Linked DNA regions of Stegostoma tigrinum. The protein of the gene in region 1 interacts with the protein of each later gene in a biochemical or structural test. Links are inferred from orthologs where the notes say so. Each region holds a gene or a part of one and is shown on either strand. Other genes may lie near its edges. The genes, in order: ras-related protein Ral-A, exoc2 and phospholipase D1-like.

What was found.
Region 2: the proteins of ras-related protein Ral-A (region 1) and exoc2 are reported together in a solved structure, tested with the Homo sapiens proteins (2 studies listed by BioGRID, with this or other methods). The link is inferred for Stegostoma tigrinum from reciprocal best matches to the Homo sapiens genes RALA and EXOC2.
Region 3: the proteins of ras-related protein Ral-A (region 1) and phospholipase D1-like form a complex in vitro, tested with the Homo sapiens proteins (2 studies listed by BioGRID). The link is inferred for Stegostoma tigrinum from reciprocal best matches to the Homo sapiens genes RALA and PLD1.

The regions. Positions count from the first base shown.
Region 1 is NC_081358.1:10,034,750-10,042,188, reverse strand, and holds the start of ras-related protein Ral-A, read left to right. Parts: upstream 1-4,352; 5' UTR 4,353-4,485; intron 4,486-7,439. UniProt on the Homo sapiens protein: Multifunctional GTPase involved in a variety of cellular processes including gene expression, cell migration, cell proliferation, oncogenic transformation and membrane trafficking.
Region 2 is NC_081355.1:15,617,844-15,625,205, reverse strand, and holds the start of exoc2 (exocyst complex component 2), read right to left. Parts: upstream 3,014-7,362; 5' UTR 2,957-3,013; exon of another isoform or gene 2,915-2,956; intron 2,868-2,914; exon of another isoform or gene 2,640-2,867; intron 1-2,639. UniProt on the Homo sapiens protein: Component of the exocyst complex involved in the docking of exocytic vesicles with fusion sites on the plasma membrane.
Region 3 is NC_081367.1:57,537,574-57,544,746, reverse strand, and holds the start of phospholipase D1-like, read left to right. Parts: upstream 1-4,146; 5' UTR 4,147-4,165; intron 4,166-7,173. UniProt on the Homo sapiens protein: Function as phospholipase selective for phosphatidylcholine. Implicated as a critical step in numerous cellular pathways, including signal transduction, membrane trafficking, and the regulation of mitosis.

The DNA.
Region 1 (7,439 bases):
AGCCATGTTGACTAGCCCTAATCAGTCCTTGCCTTTCCAAATACTTGTAAATTCTATCCTTCAGGATTCTCTCCAACAACTTACCTGCCATCGATGTCAGGCTCAATGATTGATAACTCCCTAACTTTTCCTTACTACCTTTCTTTAATAGTGGCACAATATTAGCCAACCACCAGGCATGCGACACCTCACCTGCGGCTTTCGATGATACAAATATCTCAGCAAGTGGCCCAGCAATCACTTCCCTAGCTTCTCACAGAGTTCTAGGCTACACTTCACTAGACCCTGGAGATTTATCCATTTTTATTTTAAGATGTTCAGCACCTCCTCCTCTGTAATATGAACATTTTTCAAGATGTCACTATTTATTTCCCCCTGTTCTCTATATTCTATACCCTTCTCCACTGTTAACACTGATGCAAAATACCTGTTTAGTTTCTTTTATTCATTCATGGGGTGAGAGCCTCACTGACAGGTCAGCATTTATTGTCCATCCCTATTTGCCCAGAAGGCAGTTCAGAGTCAACCACATTGGTATGGGTCTGGAGTCACATGTAGGTCAGACCAGGTAAGGATGGTGGTTCCTTCCCTAAAGGACAGTTGCAAACCAGATGGGTTTTTCCCCAGACAATTGACAATGGATTCATGGTCATCAGTAGATTCTTAATTCCAGATATTTTACTGAATTTAAATTCCACCATCTGCCATGGAGGGATCTGAACCCAGATCATCAGAACATTATCTGGGTCTCTGGGTTAACAGACAAGCAATAATACCTTTAGGCCATAGCCTCCTCGCTATTATCTCCCCCATCTCCAGTTCTGGTCGCCCTATTATAGGAAAGATGTGAATGCTTTGGAGAGGGTTCAGAGGAGGTTTACCAGGATGCTGCCTGGACTGGAGGGCTTATCTTATGAAGAGAGGTTAACTGAGCTCGGACTTTTCTCGTTGGAGAAAAGGAGGAGGAGAGGAGACCTAATTGAGGTATACAAGATAATGAGAGGCATAGATAGAGTTGATAGCCAGAGACTATTTCCCAGGGCAGAAGTGGCTATCACGAGGGGTCATAGTTTTAAGCTGGTTGAAGGAAAGTATAGAGGAGATGTCAAAGGCGGATTCTTTACACAGAGAGTTGTGAGAGCATGGAATGCGTTGCCAGCAGCAGTTGTAGAAGCAAGGTCACTGGGGACATTTAAGAGACTGCTGGGCATGCATATGGTCACAGAAACTTGAGGGTGCACACATGAGGATCAATGGTCGGCACAACATCGTGGGCTGAAGGGCCTGTTCTGTGCTGTACTGTTCTATGTTCTATCTCCTGCAGTTGCACACATTGGTGGCCTTGCTGATCATAAGGGTCCCTATTCTGTCTCTAGTTACCCTTTGTCCTTAATGTATTTGTAGAATATCTTTGGATTCTCCTTATTTGTCAAAGCTATTTCATGTCCCTTTTTGCCTCCCTGATTTCCCTCTTATATATACTCTTAGTGCCTTTGTACTCTTCTAGGGATCCACTGAATTTCTGCTGTCTATATCTGACATATGCTTCCTTCTTTTTCTTGACCAAAACTCAATTTTCTCTGACATCTAGCATTCCATACAGCTACAGCATTGCCCTTCACCCTAACAGGAATATACTGTCTCTGAATAATAAAGTGTGAAGCTGGATGAACACAGCAGGCCAAGCTGCATCTCAGGAGCACAAAAGCTGACGTTTCGGGCCTAGACCCTTCTTCAGAGAGGGGGATGGGGTGAGGGTTCTGGAATAAATAGGGACAGAGGGGGAGGCGGACTGAAGATGTAGAGAAAAGAAGATAAGTGGAGAGGAGAGTATAGGTGGGGAGGTAGGGAGGGGATTGGTCAGTCCAGGGAAGACGGACAGGTCAAGGAGGTGGGATGAGGTTAGTAGGCAGGAAATGGAGGTGGAGCTTGAGGTGGGAGGAAGGGATGGGTGAGAGGAAGAACAGGTTAGGGAGGCAGAGACAGGCTGGGCTGGTTTCGCGATGCAGTGGGGGGAGGGGATGAGCTGGGCTAGTTGTGTGATGCAGTGGGGGGAGGGGACGAACTGGGCTGGTTTTGGGATGCGGTGGGGGAAGGGGAGATTTTGAAGCTGGTGAAGTTCACATTGATACCATTGGGCTGCAGGGTTCCCAAGCGGAATATGAGTTGCTGTTCCTGCAACCTTCAGGTGGCATCAATGTGGCACTGCAGGAGGCCCATGATGGACATGTCATCTAAAGAATGGGAGGGGGAGTTAAAATGGTTCGCGACTGGGAGGTGCAGTTGTTTATTGCAAACCGAGCGGAGGTGTTCTGCAAAGCGGTCCCCAAGCCTCCGCTTGGTTTCCCCAATGTAGAGGAAGCTACACCGGGTACAATGGATACAGTATACCACATTGGCAGATGTGCAGGTGAACCTCTGCTTAATAGAGAGTCATCTTGGGGCCTGGATGGGGGTGAGGGAGGAGGTGTGGGGGCAAGTGTAGCACTTCCTGCGGTTGCAGGGGAAAGTGCTGGGTGTGGTGGGGATGGAGGGCAGTGTGGAGCGAACAAGGGAGTCACGGAGATAGTGGTCTCTCTGGAAGGCAGACAAGGGTGGGGATGGAAAAATGTCTTGGGTGGTGGGGTCGGATTGTAGATGGCGGAAGTGTCGGAGGATGATGCGTTGTATCCGGAGGTTGATGGGGTGGTGTGTGGGAACAAGGGAGATCCTCTTTGGGCGGTTGTGGCAGGGGCGGGGTGTGAGGGATGTGTTGCGGGAAATGGGGGAGACACGGTCAAGGGCGTTCTCGACCACTGTGGGGGGCAAGTTGTGGTCCTTGAAGAACTTGGACATCTGGGATGTGTGGGAGTAGAATGCCTCATCCTGGGAGCAGATGCAGCGGAGGCAGAGGAATTGAGAATAGGGGATGGAATTTTTGCAGGAGGGTGGGTGAGAGGAAGTGTATTCTAGGTAGCTGTGGGAGTTGGTGGGCTTGAAATGGACATCAGTTACAAGCTGGTTGCCTGAGATGGAGACTGAGAGGTCCATGAAGGTGAGGGATGTGTTGGAGATGGCCCAGGTGAACTTGAGGTTGGGATGGAAGGTGTTGGTGAAGTGGATGAACTGTTCGAGCTCCTCTGGGGAGCAAGAGGCGGCACCGATACAGTCATCAATGTAACGGAGGAAGAGGTGGGGTTTGGGGCCTGTGTAGGTGCGGAAGCGGGACTGTTCCACGTGCTGTGGGAGTCGGTGGGCTTGAAATGGACATCAGTCTTTGGAGTTTCGTTATCTCATTTTTGACAGTTCCCATTTTCCAGCAGTCTCCTTACCTGTGAACATCTGCCCCCAATGAACCTTTGAAGGTCCTTGCCTAATATTGCCAAAATTGGCCTTCCTCCAGTTTAGAACTTTAACTTTTAGACCCGGTCTATCCTTTTCTATCGCTATTTTAAATCCAATACAATTATGGTCACCTGCCCTGCCTTAGTTCCCAAAGGTAGGTCAGAGTCTGCACCTTCTCCAATAGGTTCATCCACATACTGAATCAGAAACGTTCTTGTACACTTTTAATAAATTCCTCTCCATCTAAGCCCTTAACACAATGGCAGTCTTTGTTTGGAAAATTTAAATCCCCTGCCATAACCATGCTATTATTCTCACAGATAACTGAGATCTCCTGACTACTGGGTGCGGGGGGGGGGGGGGGGGGGCGGTTAGGTCCATTGTACAATCCCAATGAGGCGATCATCCATTTCTTATTTCTCAATTCCACCCAAACATCTTCCCTAGACATATGCCCAGGAATATCCTCTCTCAGTACAGCCATAATGTTACCCCTAATCAACACCATGCCCCCCTGCTCCCCTTTCAATCCCTCCTATAACATCTACACCCTGGAACATTAAACTGCCAGTCCTGTCCAACCAAAGCAGAAAAAAAGTAATAGACATTGAAGCTTTCAGAAGAGTCAACAAAGCAATCTGCTGAATGTCATTAGGAAAAGGCAGGGTATATCTTAACAGTAAACAAACTAGTCTGCGCCGTTGAAGATGGAAGATCTCATGGTGGAAGAGAATATCAACTGTTGCTGGTTAAAAATTGAAAATGAAAAGATTAGCTGGGACCACAGATGATGCTGACCCCCGCCAGAAACTAGTCTGTTTTTCATAAGCGTAAGTGAAACAAATCTAATGTGAAGGGAACGAGGTCACTTTCCCAAAAATACACTCCACAAAACACAACCATACGCCTCTCTCCAGTCTCCTGATGATCCCAGTCAGGAGTCACCATTGTGTCGGAAGTGTTCATCCACACTTACGTCGCGCGCTACACGCCATTTCCGGTAGCCGCGCCAATCCCGCCCCGCCCTTCTGACGAGCGTCGCTCGCTCTTCCGCCATATTAACAGTGATCGGCCGGGCGGGGCGGCGGTAGAGAGGTGGTTGGTAAGCGATCTGCATTTAGTACCAGTGGTTGATTTCTCACTTCTTCGACGCGGTGACCGGTGAGTGTTTTAAAGTCTTGACACTGGCTGAGGTCGTGAAATGTTTCCGAGCTGACGGTTGGTCCCACAGCGCGCGATCCCTCCTCGGGGCGAGGCGGGACGGGACAGAAGAGGGACCCCCCTTTCCCTCTTCTCCCTCCGGAGAGCACTATTACATGGTTCTCTGATCATTCTCCAGTTTGGGTGAGATGTGCTATTGGGTGTGTTTGTTTTTTTTTCCACTCATGGAGGGGTGATATTGTTTGGTTTTAAACCCCTCCCCCTTTCCCCTTTGTTTTGGGGTGGAGGCTCCCCCTCTCTCCCTATTTATTCCAGAATCCTCTCCCCATCCCCCTCTCTGATGAAGGGTCTAGGCCCGAAACGTCAGCTTTTGTGCTCCTAAGATGCTGCTTGGCCTGCTGTGTTCATCCAGCTCCACACTTTTTTATCTCGGATTCTCCAACATCTGCAGTTCCCATTATCTCTGATAATGTGGCTGTTTCCTTTCCCTTTTTCGTCTTTGGGGTATCATTGTGTGATTTCCACCTTTCTCATAGAAGGTGGGGATATTGCTGAAGTCCCTTTAGGCCCCCATCCTGTCCGAGGAGATGGTATGATGCTTTGGCCTCTTTTACCCTGCAATAACTGGGTCCTGTGGGATTTTGAATTGGAAGTTTGTCGTTTGAATACGTGCTGTTTGAAAGTGGAGCCTAACCATTTAGGTTTAAACATTCCTCAGCTGCACATTTCCCTTTGAAGCTCCATTGTGTAGAGTTCACATTTAATATTAATCTGTACTGATTCTCAGCATGCTTTGCACAATTGGAGGCCATTTGGCTCAATGTTTATTTGCCTACGAGGGGGTATCCTTTTGTTTAACCATCCATGAGAAGGCAATTCAATATACTTATTGAAGTAATGATTATATGTTAAAACTACTTGTACTGTAAATAATGTTAGGATGCCAAGAGGGTCAAGAAAGTTGTTTTTATTATTTGAAGACCCATATGGCTGAAGTGAAGTGTTCTTTGAAGAAAGTTTAAGTAGGCATTTAAATCCAGTAGAGTCCAATTAAATCAATTGTATTTGAATAGTTGTACTTAGTTTTGGAATGAATAGCCAAGATATAAGTAGAACTATGTATGGTTACTAGAAGGCATAAACTGTGGCTCTTTTGAATGTAATATTTCTTCAGTCCTGCCCTGACTGAGAGCCTCTTGCCCAAGCACTGACTTCACAACGTTTCTGACTGAGGGGAAATGAATTAACAATGATACCCTGATTGTATGGCTTGCTATTTTGTTTTGTCCATTAGGTTCCTTTAAAAAGCTATGATTAACTAATTGAACAGCTGCATGTGATACATTCTTATCCAAAAAACCCTGGATAAGAATTTATTTCTCTACCTTTTGCATTATTCAGGTTTCTCCCTGAAAAGTAAATAAAATGCAAAATTGTGCAGGTTTTGTAGTTTTACTTTAGTTGCCAAAATACAAAAGCTTTTTTAAAAAGTTCTATTCAAGTCACTGGATAGTCACCTTTGGCATTGCCCAATTCTGGAGGATTTTTTTTTGAGGGATGTCAAGGTCTTCCTTGGGAGACTTACTAGAATAGGTACAAGCTGACTTCTGTCTGTAAATAGCAGGTAATTAGTTCTTCTCTTTGGGTCTGGAACAGTTATGGACATATTTTAAAAGGTGTTCCAAACATTATGAAATGTAACTTGCTGTCAGGTTCACCACCTATTGACTGTTTTTAGTTGGCCTTGAGAAGGAGATGGTGAGTTGCTAACTTGAACCTGCTACAGTCTGCCCAGTGTAGATACATCTACAGTGTTGTAGGGAAGCAGCTTCTGGCTGTTGACACAATGATAGTGAAGGATCAGCAACATAGTTTGACCTCAGGATGGTGTTTAATTTGGAGGGTGACTTGCAGTTCGTGTTTTCATGTATCTGTTGCCCGTTCCTCTCGTTAGATTTGGAAGGTGCATTGAGCAAGCATTGGTTAATTGCTGCAATGCATTTTTGTAAATGGCACACACTTGCACCTGTATGGGCATAAAATGACTTGTCAAATACTGGTCTTTCTGTATGTGGACACAGCTTAGTTATCTGATAACTTGTGATGTGTGTATTTTATAATCATCAGCAAACATCCCTGCTTCTGATCTTTGTAATGGAGGGATGACCATTGAAGTAAACTGAATAGTTGTAGAATTCTACTGAGGAACCCCCTCAGCAATTGTGCTTATTTTCCAATAAGCACAATTTTTTTCATTTTGTCCCACTGGATAGGGAACAGATTATTTCCACATTAGATCCACTTCGTAACCCTGTTAACACTGCCCATCACTGAAATTGGCCAAGTGGCATGATGGTGTGCAGGAGTTTTTTTCTTTTTGCTGATGCATTTAGCAGTAACAGCAATGCAGGGAAATGTGGAAAATGCCAAGTTCTCGTCTGGCTGTACTCTGAAGTACTTGTGCAATTCCAGTTTGTAGTAGTGAAGCTTGGCTGCCTTTGAGAATTTGAGATAATTGACCACGAAGGTGGGAAAATACCTGTCAGTTTCACAGACAGATTGAACAAGAACGGTGTCATTAGTCCCAGACTTGGTGTTCAAGTAAAGGAGTTTGAAAGTTGGCAAAATTCTTTCCTGTCATTTTACATATCTTGTTCTAATGACTTTGGCTGGGAGCGTAGACCACAGAAGCCAAATGCAAACACATACAGCAGGAAAGATCTTGGGATTCTTTTCCTGAAGTGTAAAGCCTCTCTATAATAAAGTGAAACAAAATGGTTCACTTAAATCAACCTATCTTGCATTTAAAAGTAATTTGTCAAATTGTTCTGTGTCTTAGAAAAGACATTCCTAAACTTGTGTTCAGTGCCAATGTTTGTAGCTGTACTGGAATAACTTGGCTAGAGGATATGGCTACTCCTGAAGTGTTTGTGTTCAATGAGAGCCAGAATGCT
Region 2 (7,362 bases), on another chromosome or scaffold:
TGGGGTTATTAACCTGGGCCAATCAGAAAAGATTTAGCTGACCGATATAATCAGGAGATTATAATCTCCTCAATTGAGGATTGACTCAGAGCTGGCTCACTACAGCCAGTGGTACTGTTGTACAGGTAAAATGAAAGGGTAACGTGGTAACAGGACCCAGACTTTGTGACACAAGTTTCAGTGTATGGGTCCAAGATTGAGCTTTCATGTGCTGGACTTTGCCTTCCTGTTTAGAATATGCTTTTGTGTATGCATCATGCCTTTGTATCTTGCTGGTCCATGTGCAGGCCAACCGATAGCCCTAGAATGCGCGCTTATCTATAACATTCTGTACTATTGTTTGAAATGAGATGTTTCTATACGATATTCTAATTCCATGTCTTTGCTCTTTAGCAGCTTGCCTTGATGCATAGGAACTTTGCCACGTATCGTGTTTGATACTCCGTAACCTTATGTGGACTTGAATGTATGTCTACTTGTAATATTTTGTACTACTGTTGCAAATAAGATGTGTTTCTATACGACGTTCTACGTCAACGTCTCTGCTCTTCGACAAAATTTCTTGTTGCCTAGTGACTTTGCCACATGGTGTGTTTAAGTCACTAACTTAATGTGGACTTTGGATTTACTGTTTAAATTCAGATGTCATTGTTTAGGACGTTCTATCCTAAATGTCTCTGCTCTTTGGCAACTTATTTTTATGTATAGTGACTGATGCTATGTAATGTGTTTATGACACTGTATCTTTCTGGTTTTTGAATTTACAAAAAAAAAGCCAGAAAAGAAAATAACCAGGGGCTTGGAATCTTCCCAATTGAGGACTGACTCCGAACTAACTGGCCGCAGCCAGTGGACTATGCAAGAGCAAATAAAAGGGGATTTGGTGATGGCACGCGACTTCTCTGCAGTTATTTCAGGCTGAGTGGAAGACAATAATTAAAGTCTTTTCAACATTCAGTTTGAAAATAAAAAGTTCTACTGAAAGTACTGGATATCATATCATCAGAAAATTTCAAGACAGCAGATGGTAAAAGAGGAAGTGAAGCTGTGTTTTGCCAATGTATATGCAGGAATCTAACACTGTACTTTCACAGAATGTCACAGAGGGGCAGCAAGAGAATAAGAGCAGACCTAGCATAGGTCATTGTTACCTCAGGCTAGCAATGTCAGAATGAGAAAGTAGCCATCGCAGATAATTTTCTGATTATGACTAGATAGATATGTGCAGCCTTTCTAAGTTGGACAACGATAAGCCTATACTTCAACAGTTAACCAGTTTAAAAATTGTAGGGAAAGAGACACTAAAATCATTTCACACAAAAGTTCTTTAGGGGGAATATCCAAAGCCCATTCAACTTTGCTGCTTCCCTCGACCATAAGACTGGCGAGTTGAAAACCACCAAATTAGTCAACTAACAAACATTTCATTTAGCTATCATTAGTATAAAGATTAAAAATTGACTGCTGAAGGTAAATATCATGTCCTCAGATAAAACACGCTATCATTCGCAACTCCTCAGCCTCTGAATGCAACAGGACATGGACATATTCCACAGTTGGGCTGAGAAGTGGCAAGTAACATTTGCACCAGAAATATGCCTAGACAATGCGCATCATCAACAGAGAATCTAACCATCACGCTTCAACATTCAATGGCATTATCATCACTGAATTCTGCACTGCCATCTTGGGGAGTTACCATTGACCAGAGCTGAACTGGGCCAGCAATATAAATATTACGGCTACAACAGCAAGTCAGAGTGAATTTTAAAAAAGTCTTTCCACAGTATATCATAGATTCATCAAATTACAAGAAAAAAATCTGGCTGTTGGCACACATCATGCGTATGTATCAACTTACTAACCACATCTTTTCCCAAACAAGCCAATTATTTCTCGAGGTTGAAAACTACCTGGAGATCTCAATATCTGGACAGACATTTTTTGTGTTCAGCTTAAAAAAATCTTTTAAATTTCCTTTTGTAGCAGGTACAAATTGTGTTTTTTAGATTTATAGCTTCCAACTGACTGGCAAGCTGAAAACCACCAAATTAGTCAACTAACAAACATTTCATTTCGCTACCATTAGTCTAAAGATTAAAAATCGACTGCTCATGGCAAATATCGCGTCCTCAGATAAAACACGGTACATTTTCATGACAGCATTAATCACCTAACAACCAAGAGGATCTTGAATATGAACACTTGTTCCACAATGCTATGCCATGCCTAACCCGTGAAGCCTAAGATGACTCCATTCACTTTTATGATGAATGGACTCTAACTTCAAATAATGCTGACCATGCTAATGTTGATCTTGCCCAGCGCACGCTCAGATTGAAAAGAATAAGCTGGATCACCACGCGTTTCGAGACTATTTCTCTACTCATCACAACTGTTCCCGCACCAGTTGAGGTGACCATGAAGACCCCACCTTTTCCAGCTCGCCCTTTGTCTAAAGTGTGGTAACCCTCAAGTTAAACCACCAGCGGTCGTCTTTTCTATGGTTTGGTAGGACTATGGCAATTTTACTGTTCGCGGTGGCCTGGCTTAATCAAATAAATAGTCGGACAGTGAAATCAATCAACTGCGGCGATCAGAGCATCAAACAAGGTGAACTTTAACAAGATGAAACGAACCTGTCAAACCACCTGGGCAAAACAAAAACGGCCTGTTTTAATCGGACTTGAGCTTCTTGCGGTGAGGACCTGGGGCTGCAGCGGTGCAACACCAAAGGTCAGGGACGACCTTAACCCAGAGGCGGCCCAGCCTCCACCTCAGTCCCGGAGGAGCCCACCCAGTCAGGGCGAGCCCCACCGGGGCTTGGATTACACCGGACCAGACCGGTAACTGCCGGCAACCAGGGTGCAATGGAGACCGAGCGCTTTTCCCGTTCGTTCGTTCACTCACTCACTCAGTCAGTCAGTCAGTCAATCGTTCGCCCCACCGATCTCACCCGCACTGCTCCATCACCGGCCACGCAAAACAACATCCGGGTCAAGCTGTAAACCACCGCCGGGGGAAGGGGAAATGGGTGTAACGGGTAGGTCACGTGACCACCTCCTCCGTTGCGGCGTGGATGAGGTCCGCATCTTGTTGCCAGGGCGTTCGTGCTGGCTGGCGAGTGTGGTGTAGTCGTTAGTCTCCTTGCTTTGCCGTGCTTGAGGCTGTTGGTGCAAGTCTTCGTTTTGGAACTCAGGCACTAAATGCTGGTGCAGTGCTGCAGGGGAGTGAATCTGTCAGAGCTTTCTGTGTCAGACACTAGGAGGAAAATCATGCGATGGAAGCAAAAATAACCATCACTGGACCTGATCAACTCTTACTTTCTCTCCATAGACCGGCTGTGCATCGTACCCCTCAGCAATTTCTGTTTTTGTGTGTGTGTCTGATTTCCAGCATCTGCAGCTTATTCTTGTCCACTATTGAAAGGTCTGTCCCTACCCTTCAATGCACCCCACCCTCGCTAATTGTAGAGTAATGCCACAGAAATGTCGGCATGTTCAAGCATCACTCAATCATGATATTTTTTTCTGGGGCGGATAAAGCTAAATGCTTACCCGAATTCAATCATTGCCTTGCCTTGTGCCAAATACAAACTTATAGGCATCCATGAAAGATGATATCCCTGGATACACACCCTGGGTACCGAGGAGAAGCTACTTTGCTTCTACTGGGGTAACCGTAGCCTGCTCTCTCTTCATGGTTTTCATTTTTGCAGATTATGGTGTAAAAACAAATGGGACCCAAGACCAGGCAGTAAGAGCTGCCTGTATGCTCATTTAGATACATGATCCCAAGACCTGCCAATTGCTTCCTGCAGAAGTGCTGTGTTCCCTGCACTCAATGTACGAGCAAGGGTGGCTGCTGAGCACCCCTTGTCGAGTAAGCCATCAACCTAGAGTGTACATATGTTTTCTCCTACAAATACACACCATAGAAAACTTTTACCCAATATGATTCATGATCTGTGTGTGCCACCCATCTCAGTACCTGTTTACAGCATATTTATTTGCTTAAAATAATATTTCAAATTATCCAGATTGCTTTCAATAGTTATCTGGAGGTTGATGCTAAATGTAGGAGACAACTGGCTGTTCTACGAGGGCCTTTCAATCAGGTTTTCACCTAAAGATTTCATTTTCCCTCAGTTAAACGTAAAGCATCCCACTATTTTTTTCAAAGAAGAGTGACAGCATTCTCACCAGTGGCCAAGCCAATATAAGACAACAAGACATAGAAGCTGAAGTAGCCCAGTCAACCCTTCAAGTCCTCCTTTCAATTCATTTTCCTACCTTATTTCCAAAATCCTTGGTTGCCTTGCATCAAGAAATTCCATAGATTTACCACCCTCTGGGAGAATAAAATCTATCTAATTTCTGTCGTAAATGGGCAACGCTGAACACTAAGATTATGCACTCAGTTCCTTGACATTCCTACAAGGGGAAACAACTTGTGTGCATCTACCCTCGCAAGTCCTTTCTAATTCTTCTAAACTGCAATGAGTACAAGCCCAAGCTACTCCAGCTCACTTCATATGAAAATGTCTCCCTACACCAGATCAACCTGGGGAACCTTCTTTGGACTGCCTCCAATGCTAATATATCTTTCCTTACATAAAAGGCCTAAAAATATTCAAATTATAAACAGTTTCTTAAAAGAAGGAAAGAGAGACAGAGAAATTTATGGACAGATTCCCAGAGTTTTACTATGACCTGAGCAGCTGAAGGGGCTGCCAATAGTAGTGCTGGTAAATTTGTGAATATGTAAATTGAACAGGTATTTTATCACGTTGTATTGCTGATGGAAGTAACAAAGATATGAGGAAGCAAGGAAATGGGTAGACTTTGGAAACAATGATGGCTATTTTAAATTCAAGGTGTTGCTCAACCCAGTGTAAATCAGCTCCATCCGGGATAATGAAGGAGCAAGGCCTGTTGCAGTTTGGGACATTGGCTGCTGGCTTAGGATTTAAGTTTAAATGGAAGAGAATGAACATTGTGTACTGTAGAGGTAACAAAGGCATGTAAAAGACTTCTGCGGTATGTGACAATGCTATCAGTTTAAAAAGGTTATTTTGCTCTTAGTTTTTTTGAAGAGAGGTTGTAAAGGTAGAAGTACAGAAGAGACCAGGAAGTAACAGTTAGAAGGGTTATGGCCGATTACCCAGTTCACGTTTTTTTCTGAACTTTTTTCGCTGTGGCAGTCACAAAATGTTTTGATTAGCAGAGGGTTGCAAGCTTCAGTAAATTATTCTAAGCAGACTTTCTCTGGAATCTCTCTGGCTGTTGTTCCCTCCTGCCAGTGCGATCTGTGTTTGAATTTACCTTTTTGCCAAGGAGTGTGTTTATGCAATGTTACTATATTGGAACAGCTATTTGTTAAGTTACTGTATTGAGTATTTGGTTAAGTTTTCCTATATTTAAGTTATTCTAAATTCTACTTTCTTTTGTTCATGTTTTAACTGTAGTGTTTTAATAAATTGTGTTTTGCTTTAAGCCAAGTGGTTTGACCAGTTACATCACAGCTGGAACACCCACTTTACATCCACCTTTAAAATAAGGAAAAGTTAGGATCTAGGCTACCTTCTAAAATATTTTGAGGGGGTCTGGCCTGGTCCATAACAGGTTGGGGCCTCTTGTCAGGATAATTCTATAATTCCAGTTTGGCTTTAGGGTTGTTAGACTCAAAGGTGGGAAGTGGTAGGGGTTTGTGTCTTTTGTTTCAGGTGGTGAATTTGGTTGGTTCAAACAGTGCTTTGTGTGGTAATGCCTCTTTCAGTCACTAGGAGTTCTCCGGAGGTAGAAGAAGTTACTTTGGGAGATTCACAACAGGTGAGCAAGGCAAAGTTGTTGGAATTGGCAGACAAGCTGTATTTGGGGTTGTCTTTACAAGAAAAGGAGAGATCATTACAGCAACAGCTTGATATTTAAGTTTGCAGGAAATGTCATTGGAATCTTTGGAAATGGCTAGAATTCAATTGCAGATGAAGCAGCTTGAACTGAAATAATTTGAATTATGGTTGAAAACAGAAGAAAGAGAAAAGGAAAGAATCACTCTGGCAGAACAAATAGAAAAGGAGAGAAAGGCTCTAGTAGAAGAAAGAGAGAGAGTTTGAACTTTAGAAGTTGGCAGTTAGACAGGAAACTTGACATAGAAAGATGGAGGTGAAGGTAGCAGGTAGGCTTAGTGAGGAAGGTAGTGACGTGGAGCAAACCCATTGTAGCCAAAGGCCTGGTGGGAAATATGTTTAAATATATCCAAGCATTGCTTGAATTTGACGAGAAGAATGTAGAAGCCTTTCTCATCTCATTTGAGAAAGTGGTTAAACAAACAAAGTGGCCAATGACCATGTGGGCTTTAATGCAAACAAAGTTGGTAGGTGAAACAAAAGAGGTATGTGTGAAATATGTACAAGCTTATGAATATCACTTTTAGGTGTTGGATTTTAAGATAGTGACCTCCTTTTATGAAGTTTTTTTTGAAGAAAGTTAGTTGAGGCAGTGTTTTTTGAACAGTGATCTAATCCAGTGTGTGTCAGAGAGCAGGAATGCCGTGAAGAGTTGATGGAAAATTGTTTGTACTGGGGTGGTTTACGGCAGGTAGAGTAATCACTGAAGGCATTGAAGCTTGTTTTCAGTTTAGGATAATCAAGGATTGATTTTTGTTTCAGAAAACCCAGACATTAAAGGCAGAATCTTCCCAGTTCCTGAAAGTCAGGGCATTGACAAGAATTTTGAGTAAAGCAGGTGAGATAGGCAGTGATGAGATCCACAATGTCAGCAGGAAAATGTCTGATCCTCCAACAATTGTCTCTAACCTTCCTATACATTGTAGAGCCTTTTGTGCTACATGCCATTTCCCTCAGAGGAACAAGGTGCAGTTTTGCTGCAGATTGAGGATATCTCAGGATACTGTCACAGAACTATGACAAATGTGGGAATTGAAGCTGCAGCACTTTTTTCTTAATATATTCACAGAATTAAGGCATTTCTGGCTGGGCTTGCAGTTATTGTCCAGACAGCAGTGAAGAGCCAACCACATTACAGTGAGTCTGGAGTTATATGTAGGCTAGACCAGGTAAGGATGGCAGTTTCCTTCCCTGAAGGGCATTAGTGAACCAGATAGGTTCAACGATTGACAATGGATTCATGATCATCGTTAGACTCTAAAATCCAGATTTTTTTTATTGAATAAGAACTCCACCATCTGCCGTGGGAGGTTTCGAAATCGGGTTCCCAGTACATTACCTGGGCCTCTGAATTAACAGTCCAGCAATAACACCGCTGAGCAATTGCCTTCTTTTGTGTGGATGCTAAACTTGCTCGTAACTGGCCACTGAGGAGCCACTGAGAATCTGTATGG
Region 3 (7,173 bases), on another chromosome or scaffold:
CTCAGCCATGGAGCAGATTGATGGGACTTGAAATATTAAAAGCATCATGGGATATTGAGATAATGGGAGGAAGTGGTGCTGAAGTACATCAGCCATGATTACAATGAATGATGGAGCATGTTTGAAGGGCTGAATGGCCTTACCTGTTCCTACTTCTTATGTTTTTATTTGTTTCTCAATGATGTGGTGTGGTGATGGGATATTTAAATTGTCAAGTATTCATGAAAATGATGCTCTTTACTGAAAAGGTGTTCTCTATACTCACTCAGGTTGGCAAGATCCCACATGCAGCGGATTAAACCCGAGAAGTTTCCAATATTTAATTTATAAATGAAATAAATGAGTTGTTGGAGCAATATTGGGACCTACCACTGGCTGTGTGACAATACTGGCTTCTCTTGGTCATGGGCCTGCATGTGAGGGAACAGGCCGTTTTGCAACTCACACATCTTTGGGCGGAGGGGGCAGGATATTGCCTGAAGAGTAAAGTCTGGACTGCAGGACTTGCTTCTTTCGTTTTCCTGCTCTGTCTCAATGTTTAGGAGTGGTGTCTCAAATGCGATTTTTCTTGGTGGAGAATTGGTGGTGAACTCCTCCCAGACGCTGCCATCCTGTGAGGACAGCTTCATGGTGTCATTGTCACATTCTCTTTGTCCTCCCCTGGAATGCCGGCTATGTGAGAATTCCTTTTTCTCAGCCCTCAAATGGTAAGTGAAGGGTTAATAGGAGATTCCGACAGCTTGAAAGGATCTTAACAAAAAGGATGTGGGCTAAGGTGACAGTCCTGCCCACAGGATATAGAGAAGTCCACTGGGCTTCGGAAGCTGTATTTGATCTACTGCTGATCTCAATCTCTGGAAGTCTTGTTTCTGCTGTGAAAATGACTTTCAGTTTTTGATCTTAACTCATTAAGGAAAACATACAACTGCTGATTTTATACTGGTATCAAGAAAAACTTCAAAATTTGTTTTTGAGATGTCCCATTCAAGTCCAAAGCTTTGAGACAAGGCCAAATAATAATCCTTCAATAAGGCAACAGTTACATTTCTTAGAATTCCTACGGTGCGGATTCAGACCATTTGGCCCAGTGTGGACCCTCCAAATAGCATCACACTCAGATCCATCATCCTACCCTTTAACCCAGCATTTCCCATATTTGAAATGTGGGAGGAAACTCACACAGACATGGAGTGAATGTGTAGACTGCACACAGACAGTCACCTGAGGCTGGAATCAAACCCAGATCCCTGGCACTGAGAATCAGCAATGCTCACCACTGAGCCATTGTGTGCCCTGTTAATATGCCACCCTTTACATTGTGAGAGAGGCGTGATATAGCAGTCAATATTGTGAATGTAAATCTAGAACTACAGGTTAATGTTCATGGGTTCAAATCCCAAAATCGCTTTAAATGGATTTTAAATACACTTAATACACCTCGAACATAAACATAACCTTAGAAGAAGTGACCATGAAGCTTACTTCAATTGTTATAATAATCCAGCTGGTTCACGAATGTTCTCTATTCTTTTGGATGCCATATTAAAAGAAGCACATGAACACATTCGAGACAGTGCAGAAGTGATTAATGAGAATAGTTCCAAAGGTTAGAAACTTGAGTTCTGTGGATAGATTGGAGAGGTTGAGACTGTTCTTCTTGGAGAGAAGAAGGCTAAGAAAAGATTTGATAAAGGTGTTCAAAGTCATGAGTGGGCTGGATAGAGTATATTGGAAGGAACTGCTCCTGCTTGGGTGATGAACAAGAAACAATGGGCATGGATTTTAAGTGATTTGCTAACGGAGCAAATGGGATGTGAGGAAAAAAAGACCATTTCGCACAGCAAGGCGTTAGGATAGCAAATGCACTGCCTGGAAGTGTGGTGGATGCAGATTGCATTGAGACATATGAGAGGGCATTGATGCAGACACAATAGGCTGAATGGCCTTCTTCTGTGCCATAACACCTCTGTGATGCTGGAAACTCTCCCAGAGCACCTCAAGCTGGATCAATTATTGACAATAGGTGTCATCAAGTCATTTAAGGAAATATGAGGACAGGTGACCAAAAACTTGTTCAAAGGGGTATGTTTTAAGGAGAGGCTAAATAGAAGGTGGTGCGGTAAGGAGGCAGTGAGTTTTATGGAGGGAATTTGAGACCTTTTTGAACAATGATATTAATCATTCCACCATTGGTATCGGTGCTTTCTCTGAGCTCTGGAATTCTTGCCCTTAACTTTTCCACCACTCTTCCTTTCACTCATCCTTGAAGAAACACCTTTAAATTTATCTCTTTAAACAAGCTTTTGGTCACCTGAGTGAATATCTGTCTATGTGACATAGTCACATTATTTCTTAAAAGGAGCACCTTGTTTACTTTACCAAAGTGTCTCAGTGTAAACACATGGCTGTTGTGGTGTTTTTGTTGAAAGTGGTGAAAACCTTTAACATATCTCACAAGAAACTGGTGTCGACTGAAACTACAGCTAACTCCTTGCCAACTACAGTAATAGCACTTCAAAAGAATGTCATTGGCTGAGAAGGGTTTGGGACATCCTGTGGTTAGGAAACGAATGAAGCTTAATTAATACAGGTCTTTGTTCCTTTTAATTGAAGTCTGTGTCGTGCAGAATTTTGCAATGGCCGTTGCTTTATTATGTTTTCATAAGCTGCACTTTGGACCTGGTTCAAGGAGTGAAACTGTGTGTCATCTCAGACAGGTGAAAGTCTGCGTACTCAGGTTTGATAGGATCTGCTGCAGTGAGCCAAGTAATGCCTTGCACCAATTTGTTTCAGAACCTCATACATATTGCTGTGAAGGGTTGTGATCTGAGTATAATTTTTTGAAAGATTAGGTGGGCCCATATAAATATGTTTTCAACTTTTAATCAAAGGGCACTTTGCTCAGGGAAAAGGCACTGGTCCAACTCCCTGATGCACTTTCAAGGAGCAAAGTACTTGGATGCGATTGCACAGTCTGAACTTTCAGGGACAGGTCATATGACTAGTTTGTGAGTGTAATAATTTTTGAACTCAGTCACAGAAAAGTTGAACAACTTGAAGAGCAAAAGCCCACTCTCTCTTTGCAACACTTCTCCACAGAACAAGTGAGCTGAAAACCCACCAGAAATAATTGTTAGCACTCATAGAGGATTCCTGGGCAGAATTTTTTGGAATCTATCTGCCACAACTTTTGTGTGTGTGTGTGTGTGTGTGTGTGTGTGTGTGTGTGTGTGTGTGTGTGTGTGTGTGTGTGTGTTTACAACATGCCCCAAAATTGTCCTCTTAATCGTCTTGTGATATGGTGGTAATGCCCCTATCTCTGGGCCAGGAGACCTGGGTTCACAATGACAATCACACCAGAGATGTGTAATAAGTTCACTGAAAAGATGCTAGGTTCATCAGGTGATTTGGTGGTGATAAAAAAAAACCTTCAGCACTGTATAAAAGATTTTAAAGAACAAGAAAGCGAAAAGCATTGTTATCCACTATCCAGACACACGTCAGCACTCTGTTTTGCTGCTGGGTTTTGGTTGCGGAGGAGTCCTTCTGATTTCCAGCAGTAACCTGGAGTGGAGGGTATTGTGTAATCACAGATTGCAGTGGTTCATAGACTTCCAGTACAAGTGCTTCATACTTTAGAATCTCTACGGTGTGGGAGCAGGCTATTTGGTCCATTGAGTCTGCACCGCTCCTCTGAAGAGTAACCCACCCAGACCGACCTCCCCTACCCTATTCCAGTAACCCTGTATTTCCCACGGCTAATCCATCTAGCCTGCACATCTCCAGATGCCATGGGCAACATAGCGTGACCAATCCACCTAACTGACACATCTTTGGACAGAGGGAGGAACCGATGTGCCCAAAGAAAACCCATGCAGACATGATGAAAATGTGCAAACTCAACGTAGACAGTTGCATGAGGCTGGAATCGAACCCAGATCCCTGGCGCTGTGAGGCAGCAGTTCTAATCTCTGAGCTACCAAGCTTATTTTATGACTGTGGATTCCACAGGTCATATATATATATATTAGCTGTTGCACTCCCTGCTTGAATACATTAAAGACTTGTTTTTGTTCTTTTGCAGTGTCTCCACCTCTGGTGAGTTATTTAATTGTCCACAACTGGATGTGGCAGGCCTACAGAGCCTAAGTCTGATCCTTTGATTGTAAGTACACTTAGCCCTGTCTGTTGCATGCTGACTCTGCTCTTTGGCATGCAGGTAATCCTGTATTGTGACTTGTCTAGTTTGAAACCTCATTTGTAGGTTTGTCTGGTACTGCTCCTGGCATGCCCTCCTGCATTCAACCAGGCTGACCTTGCAGGGTGATGGTCAGGGTAGCTATGATAGACTATGAAGTTAAATGCTTTGGTTGAATATGTAACATGCCCTATTTACCACTTATAATGCCACACAATAGAATGGAGAATGTTCTCAATGTGAAGGCAGGACTTAGCCTCCACAAGGACCATTTGTTGGTCACTCTTGCTGTGACTGCCATGGGCAGATGCAGCTGCACTAGACAGATTGATGAGGATGTGGTTAAGTGTACATTTCCCTCAAATTGGTTTCTTCAGCACCTGCTGCAGACTCAGTCTAACAGCTATGTCCTTTAGGACTTGACCAGTTCAGACAGTAGTGACGCTGCCAAATGACTCAGTGATAGACATTGAACCCACCCACTACATTCTGCACCTTTGACATGCATAGTGCATCTTCCAAGTGGTGTTGAATGTGAAGGAGCACTGATTCATCAGTTGAGGGAGGATGATGCATATTAACCCACAGGAGTTTCCTTCCCCTTGTTTGACTTGATGCCATGAGATTTCATGGAGATTAGACAAAACCTCTCCAAGTCAATCACTGTTCTCAACACTTCTCAAACCAACTCAAGCAGAAGTCAACAGCAAAAGCATGTAGCTATCACCAGTCACATGACTTACAGGAAACTTTTAGTTTAATGTCCGCAGTGAACTTTCAATGACCTCTTTCAAATAAATAAATTCAGGTTTTTGCACAAAACTTGAAATAAATGAATTTTCCACATTCCTGCAGAACTTAATGCCTGTTAGCAATATTAAATATAAAGTGTCTTCAAAGCACAGATATTAAGCGTTTTTATATATAACAGTAATATCCCCCGAAAAGCGAATATGTTTGTAAAATGTGATTTCTACTTTATACGTCCATGTGGACTCTGCTGGAACTGGTTAGCATTTTCTTATTGTGCAATTATCATAAGCTTTATAACTAATCACGGTATGTTCTTTACTGCTGACATCAGATTTACAGGTCTGTAGTTCCCATATTCTCCCTCCCTTGTTGCTTAACATGTGAAAATGTCAATAATGAAATGATCAGGTTCTGGTGACTTGTTAACTTTCAGTCTCATTATGTTTATTGGTCATTCTTTATGAATACTGAGTTCTTTTAGTTCCTCATTTGTCCTAGTCTTCTGACTCTGATAATCTCTGGGAGAGTTTTGTAATTTCTACTGTGAAGAGAAATACAATTTTAATACCTATTTTTCTAATCAAACTGTTCAGACCTGTCATTATAGACCTCTAGAGCAGGTGGGACTTGAACCTGGGCCTCCTGGTCCAGTGAGAGGGTCACTACCACTGTGCCAGAAGGGAGCCTCTTGCTATTTTACATTCATATTCCATTTTCCCTTTCTTTATCAGTTCCCTATACCTTCTTTGCTGAATTCTAAAATGCTCCCAATCTTCAGGCTTACTAATTTCCTGACAATAAGCATCTTCTCAAGGCTCCTTTGACTTCAGCCTCCAAACCCGTCACTACACCCATAAACCACAAAGAGTAGCTGATCCTTGGGATCATGACTACCAACCATTCCATCCAACCCTCTTGCCTTGGAACTTTAGGTTGAAATTTTAGGACCTCCTTTGTTGGACACTGACAGTGCATCTACCCCAGATGTACTGTAGATGTTCCCATGCAAGGACTAGGTGACACAAAATTAAGTCGTTGGTCAAGAGATTCAGAGACAATGGGAGGAAAAGCTATTTTACACAATGAGTGATAATGGGCTATGATTCATTGCCCATAAAGATATTTTCAAGAGCAAATTGACTGGCATTTGAAAGAAATGAGCCTACAGGATTACAAGAATAGAATTGGAAAGTTGGATCTCTCTGTGGTGAGCTGGCATGGACCTGATGGACTGAATGGCCTCCCTCTGTGCTCTAAATGACTCTCTGATTTTCCAACCTTAAGAAGTCAACACCACTTTCTCAAAAATAATGAGGAAGGACAACAAGTGATAATGATCCTCACCTTGTGTGATTGAATGAAAAGGAAGTGGATATAACAAATGAAGCAGGTGAAGCTGAGTACCACTATGCACAGAGCTTTGTTATGAGTACGTTCCAGAGTTTGTCTGGTATGATATCCAATGTCACTGCCAACATGTGAGGCTTCCATGGCTATTAAGTGAGGTGTCCCATTGCCATTGCTAATAGATAAATTTCCTCAAGTCTAAAATTGAGGTGCACAATGACTGACAAGACAGGTATCCCTATCTAACAAGTGAGGTATCCTATATCTAACAGGTGAAATATCCCATATCCAACAGATAAGGTACAGCATATCTAATAGGTAGTACCATATCTAACAGGGGAGGTGCTCTACTGCTAAAATCTATGCAGGTGTTACTCCCAAAGTCAGTGAAAGCATTACAAATATTATACAGTAAATCTCAGCTAAAAGTTTTGTGTTTTGCTCCTGATAAACATCCCAGAATCAAGTGACAAGCTGTTACAGCATTCCTCAATGTATTCCAGCATACATTCCCTCATCCTTCATGGTATAATTTTCCATTTGGTACGTGTAAATTTGTGAGCTCCACATTCAGGCTGTCAACTTGTATTGTTCATGAAATATCACGTCAGGGATTTGGCTCAATCGCAGTTAGAGGGTGACAATCCAAAATAAACAGTCTGAGTTTTATGTGTACTGAATATTTGAAATGTTCATTGTGTTAGACATCCTGCACTAGCACTCAAATTCAGATCTGTGTGGGGCAGGCTGTGATAGCTCATTGCAAGAAATTCTTTAAAGCAATATTGGCATTTCTTTGGCATGTTTAATTTTTAACAAGATCAATCACAGGATGTGGGTGTTACTGCCTAGACCAGCATTTATAGCCCGTTCCT